Linked DNA regions of Kluyveromyces lactis. The protein of the gene in region 2 purifies or fractionates together with the protein of the main gene of each other region. This does not show direct contact. Links are inferred from orthologs where the notes say so. Each region holds a gene or a part of one and is shown on either strand. Other genes may lie near its edges.

Region 1 (4,022 bases), on a different chromosome or scaffold from region 2:
AATCAGATTTCAATATCAATAACAGACGTTCCTAGGATATCCCTAGCAGACTCTACCATGGAATATTGTGTTGGGGATTACGTTGGATACCAATTGAGTGGGACACCTCCATTCATAATAAAGTACGACTTCAATGGTAAGCAGCTAAAATCCAAGGAACGTTCCTCTCAGTTCGTCAGATATGCATCTGAGCCCGGCGTTATATCTATTTTTTCAATCCAGGATTCTTCATCACAATGTGTAGTAGATTTCACAAATCCGAAGATGAAACAAGACTTTGAAAGGTTATCTTTGAATATACATCCAATTCCGTCGGTAACAGTATCACAAGGCCAAGAGATTGTTGAAGATATTCATGAAGGTGACAAAGCTGAAGTTATATTCTCCTTCGAAGGTACACCTCCTTTCGCATTAACCTACGTCCGTACTGAAAACTCTGGCACCAAAAAGGGCAGAAAGCAACAAATTGTTGAAACACACAAAGTTTCCGATATCTATACTTACGAGTACAGAGTTGTGACCAGTCTACAAGGTACATATGAAGCTTTAGAAGTGTCAGACGCCTTCTGCGCAGCTAAGAATCGTGCGTTGTTGGATTGAAATTTGATTTCATTGTATAATAAATAACCATCTTAAAACTCATTTGATCCTTCAAAGTGGTGAACTATAGGGCTATCATAAACCAACCTGTTGGCATAAGAATTAGCTGTAAATCTACATCACTATCTTCGCCTTCCATTAGCGTTTGTATTCCATCCAATAAAGGTAATGAGGGCATGCCGCTCCTGTGGAACCAGACCAATTCCTTCTTATAGGCATTTTTCAAGAAACGAAGCTTCCATGGAACGCTTCGGCCGACAGCTTTGCGACATCCGAGATTGAAAGTATGTTCAAACTGTAAGTCGAGGTTTTTAGTAGAGCTGTTGGTTGCTGTATGCTCAATATCAACAAGGGTTGTTGAATGGTCATATTCTGGATCATTTTCCAAAATTCTTCTTCTCTTGCTTGTTGGTTCTTGAAAAAACTCAGAAGATTGCGTCTGCCTCTGATAGTATGTTTCTAGTATGCCCGAACTTTTAATTTGATCGTCAACTATCTCTGTAGTGTTCCTGGCACGGATCCGAGAAAGAATAAATGGATTTGAAAGAGTCGTATTTCTGGATAGCTCTACGTCTTCAAGATCTCGCTCAATGCAGCAATCCTCGGTGTTCACAATGTCAGAATATAGAAGGTTTTCCCTTACTGGTGAAGATCTACCATCGGATAGCGTGCCGCTATACATGTCTGTCAACCATTCAGATTCCTTCTCGAGAATTTGTTGAGTAGGGTTATTGGTTATTTGCCGGTGAATTTGCTTTGGAATGTCACTTGTATTAATTATTCTACGAGTGAAAATCACTGATTCACTATCAATATGGGTAGAATTTGAAGGATCATTATACTGCATGTGTGGAGCGTAGAAGGTGAGCAGTGAACATTGCAAAATAGATAGAGCTTTTTCCAGTGTAAGTGCGACAGCTTTATTTTCGCCATTGACTACAGCATTGTCGCTAGTATGGTGGCATAAAAATTGAATGAACCATGCCCTCGGTTCTGGTTTCCCGAAATGCTTATAAAATTCCTTGAAAAAATGATTGACTTTTTTACCAAAGCCTGATTGTACCATTACTGCTTCTCCATTAATGCAAGGATATTTAAGATTCGGCATCAATTCTGTCACTCTGCCATGTGTTCGAATTTTGGGCAATATGATATTAACTTTTAGAGATTCACTTAGCTCTATCTCATCAAAGTGTTCGAACTCAACTATAAGATTCTGTTTGGTAACATGTTTTTTGAATTGCGACATCCGGTCTTCATATTTACCAAACCGCGCAACATATTCTAAAGTCTTGATACTTCCGTCCCTTAGAGGATTGACAAGCTGGCAACTAAAACATATATGCTTATGAATCAAAGAAAAATGAAAAAGCATATCCCTAATCATTTTAATATAATTTTTATCTTTCTTTGCCAGTCTACTGCTTTTACTTCCCGTCATTAGGTCTCTGAGAATAACTGTCGTACCCGGTGGATTCACTACCTTGGAAAATCTAATAGTTTCATTTATTCTGATTCTAGGTGGTGACCATTTAACAGCAACATTCTCTGAAATAGTCCGTGTTATCACCTCGATAGATCCCTTCTTCGATGCTGTTTTGCCAATATTATATAACGCTCTTCCTTTGTACCCTATTCTTTTGCATGATTTACCGTCAGTTTTGAAGTGTTTAACAAAAACGCTGCTGCGCTTCTGGACACTTATTCCGTTACCATCATCATTCAATTGGATGTACCTACATCCGCCGCTAGATTCATCTATTTTGATCAGCACTTTAGTACAATTGGCGTCTATCGAATTCTCTATCAGCTGTTTAACCGCCGAGACAGGATTATCAATAACACGGTTTGTTGAAGTGCTATTTTCAAACAGCCAACAATGAAACCTATTATTCATACAGCGACTTTACAATATTTATCCCTGGGCAGAATCTCTACTCCTTTTTAAGGCATCTTTTTATTGTATATCTGCTTTCTGTATTTATATGTCAGATCTAAGTTGATGAACTTCAGAGTACATTCGACCAAGCTTTTTCTGAAAAATGTATACCAAGTTGAACCATTAAAAGAAATAAAACATAGAAAAGCTCTCGATTTCAGAGTAGTAGATTGAAGTCAAGTAACGTTAATCTAACCGGGGAAATATGGTACCGGTAAGAATTCCTAGAGAGGTACTCAAAAATGGCAGTTTGCAGCACTCGCGGCCAAAAATCATAACGTTTGATGCATATAATACTCTTTATTCCATCAAAAAACCTGTAATGGAACAGTATTGTATAGTGGGTGCCAAGTACGGGATTAATGGTAATCCACAAGAACTCACTAAGAGATTTCCAGGGGTTTTCAGTAATATCCGTAAAAAGTATCCTTTATATGGTAAAAATTCTGGTATCACGGCTGAACAATGGTGGGAGTATCTAATTAGGGATATGTTTGAACCAATACAGATACCAAATGAAATGGTAGAAGAAATCTTAGAAAGGTTCGAGGGCGATGCTGCCTATACGGTATACCCAGACGTCAGGGAATTTTTGGAGACAATGAGGAGGAACCATCCTGAGGTTTCTTTGGGGATCGTCAGTAATACTGACCCCATTGTCCTTACGTTGTTAGAGAATTTAGATCTTAAGAAATATTTCGACGGAAATATCTATCTGTCTTATGATCTTGAGATAAAAAAACCCGACCCGGCTATGTTTAATTACGCGGTCTCTCATATGTTGAAACGCCACAACACTAGTGGTCAACGTGAGAACTTGGAAAATATTCGGCCACACGTCTGGCATGTTGGTGATGAGGAGAAAACGGATCTGGGAGGAGCTTTCCAAGCTGGAGTAAATGGAATTCTTGTAGATAGATCAAACTCATTCGGTTACTTCGACATAACAACTCCTGATGTTTGCAAAAAGGAGTTATCAGAAGATGATTTATCTCTGAGGAAAGTGTTACACCATTCAGAGGTTATATTACAAGAATCTGATGCAGTCACTGATGTAGTACAATTAAACAGCAGACAGTATGTTTTACCAAATTTTAAATCATTGGAGGCCCTATTATTTCAGCAGTAGCGGCATCTTAAGATATAGTGCTGTAAATATTTGATTGAGCAAACGACACTCTGTATGATGGACTATCCCTCTCTTAAATTCCACCTTGCGTACCCATGCTACTGTCAGGTTTTGGATTGGAAAAAAAATAAGTGGACAAAACCGGAGTCGAACCGATGACCTCTTCCTTGCAAGGGAAGCGCGCTACCAACTGCGCCATTTGCCCCGACACGATTGTTAGTCAAGACTATCAGGTATATACATTTGATGAGCATCATCTACTGCCATAGCATGCTCATGTCTTCAGTATCAAATTATTAGTTTCCGAGATTTGTCAAATTCTCTGTAATGCCAAACACAACGAAACATGATTCG
Region 2 (4,268 bases):
TACAATTCGAAGTGTAGAAGGAACGTTCTCTTCACCGTTTCTTAAAGAATTCGTGCGTAGCACTTTAAAAATGGAAATAATGTCGTCCATAGTCATCTTTTTGATGTAGAGATTATCCTCGTTACACAGCAAGTCAAGGTTGGGAAAGTGAAGTAGTATTTCCTTGGATGCTAGTGACAATGCCCCGTGTTTGTTCTGTAAAAACAATCTGATTGCAGCAATTAAATAATTAAGCTCCATATGAATCAGTGATCTGTCCTCAATAACAACGCTTTGCTGCTCATTATTATCTGTACCATTATCATTATCTTTAGAAAACATGGGATAGACTTCTCCTGCATATTCCAATGTCGTATCGGGGATATCTGCTGAAGGAAGGGATTCCTTTACGCTTTCACCTAACCCTTTCAACTGGTTCCGTAAGTCCTCATCAGAATCAATCATCTGCTCGTCCTCATAATCACTGACTATACTATCGCTGTGAACGCTCATAGAACCACTGCTTGATTGTTCGTCCCTATTAATAGTTTCAATACCATCGTTTTCGTCATTTTCAACAGAAGAACCAGCTTCGTTTGCTTCGGGAACATGTTCCGCAACTGATACGGAGGAAAGCTCTTCCAGCCGAGGTACCTCTTGATCCTCCAAGCTCATACTCACAAATCTTGCACGTACGAGGCGACACCGTAGCTCTTTACAACTTCTTTTACCCTTATTCCGTCTATTCCACGGCTGTAATCATCATCAATCATAATTCCTTTGTTTTCTCCCTTTATGTTTTCAAATTATCAACAAAGTAAACAAACACTCAACCTGAATCAGTTCAAAGCAAAAACCATCTTCAACATAGCTTAGGAACTGTTCATAGTATCATAGCATATACCATTACATCCCATATGTACCATTCGATGAAGGAATATTCGAGTTCAAATGATACAATTTTCAAAAGCGGTAAAAGAACACAGCAAACCTCCGATTCTTCAAACCGAATCTGTAAGTGAAATACGCTCATGATAAAAACGGATACCCTTTCTCCAGAATAACCCTCGAGTTCAAAGAGATGTATAAAAATGTGCATTGGACCTGATTTAAACGTCATGGATTTAGTACCTAAATTCTAACACTATTTACAATCGAATAACGTCCATAAAGACAATGGAACAAACAAGCCAACTAGCCGCCCAAACTTTAAAGTAGGTATATCATACAACAGCATCATCGACGATGATAGTGGGGATGAGTTAAGTACTGATGGCCCTTATAACATGTCGAAAGAGTATGAAATTAGTAGCTCCAACACTTCAAATGATACCACATTCCAGCTTAATTTCTCGAATTCTTTGACTCGTCCATTAAGGAAAAAACCCAAAATCGCAACATTACAAAAGGACCCTGTTAATGAAATCCGTTTGTTACCTGTTTCAGTGCTACCGGACTCTGCTCAGTGTATATTCCCTTTCGAAAATTTTAATAGAATGCAGACTGAATCGTTCGAAAACATCTACCGATCCAATGAAAACTGCATCGTCACCTCCCCAACAGGATCCGGAAAGACAGTCTTATTTGAATTAGCCATTTTAAACGCAATGAACAGGCTCGATAGACCTTCTTCGGTAAAGGTGCTTTATATTGCACCTACTAAATCGTTATGCAACGAGAAGTATCAACAGTGGAAATCGAAGTTTATCATGTTATCAGTTGGAATGTTGACAAGTGATACTTCCTTCACAGAATTGGAAAAAGTAAAAGCCGCAAACATCATCATATGTACACCTGAGAAATGGGATGTTATAACAAGGAAATGGACAGATTATCCTCAGTTCTTTGCCATATTGAGCCTTGTGTTGGTAGATGAGATTCATATTTTGCAGGAGCATCGTGGAAGTACATTGGAAGTTATTCTTACTAGAATGAATTCAATGTGTCAAAATTTGAGAATAGTTGCTGTAAGTGCAACCATTCCTAATATACATGATATTGCTGACTGGTTGAAAACTGGAGGACCTACTGGCGTTCCAGCAAAAGTACTAGCCTTTGATGACAGTTACCGACAGGTGGTGTTAAGACATCACGTTTATTCATTCTACAATAAATTCAATAATGAATTCCAAATGGACGCTTTGTTTAATACAAGATTGGTCGAACTCATTAACAAGCACAGCAAAGGAAAACCTGTTCTAATTTTTTGCCCCACCAGACAATCGACCATTGTAACAGCAAGACACATCGCCCTACATGACCACGAAATGAATAACACCAGTAGTAAACGTTCAAATATTAAACTACAGGACAAACAATTAAGCGAGATTGCACAGAAGGGAATTGCTTTCCACCATGCCGGATTGTCAATGACGGATAGGAGCGTGATTGAAGACAAATTCACCAACGGTGACATAAAAGTGTTGTGTTCGACTTCAACTTTGGCTGTCGGAGTCAATTTACCAGCTTATTTGGTTATTATTAAAGGTACAAGGATGTGGTCCATCAACGGTTCCCAAGAATATTCAACTCTAGACATTTTACAGATGATCGGAAGAGCAGGAAGACCACAGTTTGAAACAGAAGGGACCGCATTGATCTTAACGGACGAAGGATCCCAAGAAAAATACGAGAATCTTTTGAAGGGAACCTCCACCTTAGAGAGTTGTTTGCATTTGAATCTAGCCGAAAACATTGTTGCTGAAATTGCACTAAATTCTATTACATCGATAAAATCTGCGATGAATTGGTTGAAAAACACTTTCTTTTATAGACGATATCTTAAGAATCCAGCTCATTATAGTGTTATTAGAAGCAGTATACTGACTTCGGACGCTGAATGCCAGTTAACTCATTTTTGTGAACGAACACTAAAGGATCTTCTTTCTTATAAAATAATCCTTGACAACAACGGAAATTTGTGTGCTTCTGGATATGGACAGGCAATGACTAGGCACTATATCCTTGGAGATACGGTCAAAAACATCATAAGATCAAACACATCACTAAAGTCGCTTGAGGTACTTAAAATATTGGCCAATGCTAGCGAATTTGATAGTATTCGTTTGAAGCATAATGAGAAGAAATTGTATCGAGAAATCAATGCAAATCCTCTTTTGCGGTACCCATTTACAGATAAGAAGAAACAGCTAATGTCAATAACTTCTAAAGAACAGAAAATTTCGTTATTAATCCAGTACGAATTAAGCGGTTTAGAGTATCCTTCTTACAAAGATGCACAAAAACATCACCAAACATTAGTTCAGGATAAGATGCTTGTTTTCAGACATGCTCCTCGAGTACTCAAATGTATGATTGATTGCTTTATTGAGAAATATGATGGAGATTCATTGAAAAGTACTTTATTTCTTTTGCGTAGTGTCGCCGGTAAAGGTTGGGAGGATACTCCGATGATCTTAAGACAACTAAACACCATTGGTTTGGTATCACTACGGAAATTAGTGAGTCACGGAGTATGTACATTTGCAGATATGGAAAAACTCACAGAACAACAGATCGAATATTATCTCAGTTTGCGACCAGGCAACGGATATAAAATCAAAAGTGACTTACAAATGATTCCTTTATTATCGCTCGAATACAGTGTAGAAGAAAAGACGGTAACTCAAAACGCAATCCATGTTTCATTTAAAGTAGAAGTACAAGCCAATTTTAAATCTGCATCTTGGCATGGTCAACAACTTTGTATGCTGATCATGTTGAAGACTGATACAGGCATATTAATAGATTTTCGGCGAACGTTCTTGAGTAAGTTAAAGACACCCAAAGCCTTCAGAATAACCATCCAGGTAGACAGAAACACGAATTTTATCGAGTTTGTCTATTCATGTGAGCAAATAGGCGGATCAAATCGTGAAATCAGGTACTATTTGAGTAATGGGTGCTATGACGATATGCCAAAATATTCGAATGTACTTGAACAGATTGATTCAAACCAAACTGGCTCTTTCCAAACTTCAATAAATTACAGTGACGCCAGGGAAACTATAAACAATGAAACAGATGATGATGAAGAGCTATTAAATTTGTTAGCGGAGAAAAATAATTCAAATGCTAACAATGAACGACAAGAAGACTGCGACAGATCTCTATTGGATAATGGAAACATGAAATGTCACCATACTTGCAAGGACAAGTCAACTTGCCGCCATCTTTGTTGCCGGGAAGGAATTCCTAGAAACACCAGGCGTAAGGCATCGAAACAGAGCATGATAAAGCATACTGAGAGTGTGCAGCAAGAAGAACCATCATCATCTAAGGATGCAAGA

Evidence for each region.
Region 1: the proteins of HFM1 (region 2) and MLH2 purify together in Saccharomyces cerevisiae (affinity purification with western blotting; 3 studies listed by BioGRID, with this or other methods). This does not show direct contact. The link is inferred for Kluyveromyces lactis from reciprocal best matches to the Saccharomyces cerevisiae genes HFM1 and MLH2.

What each region holds. Positions count from the first base shown.
Region 1 is NC_006042.1:1,583,792-1,587,813, reverse strand, and holds MLH2 (mismatch repair protein MLH2), read right to left. Parts: upstream 2,498-4,022; coding exon 665-2,497; downstream 1-664. Other genes in the region: POM152 (Pom152p), read left to right, coding at 1-600; DPI35 (Dpi35p), read left to right, coding at 2,745-3,668.
Region 2 is NC_006040.1:980,775-985,042, forward strand, and holds the start of HFM1 (DNA helicase), read left to right. Parts: upstream 1-1,265; coding exon 1,266-4,268. Other genes in the region: RMR1 (Rmr1p), read right to left, coding at 1-654. UniProt on the Saccharomyces cerevisiae protein: DNA-dependent ATPase and 3'-5' DNA helicase. Required in the control of double strand break transition and crossover during meiosis. ATPase is slightly better stimulated by single-stranded (ss) than double-stranded (ds)DNA.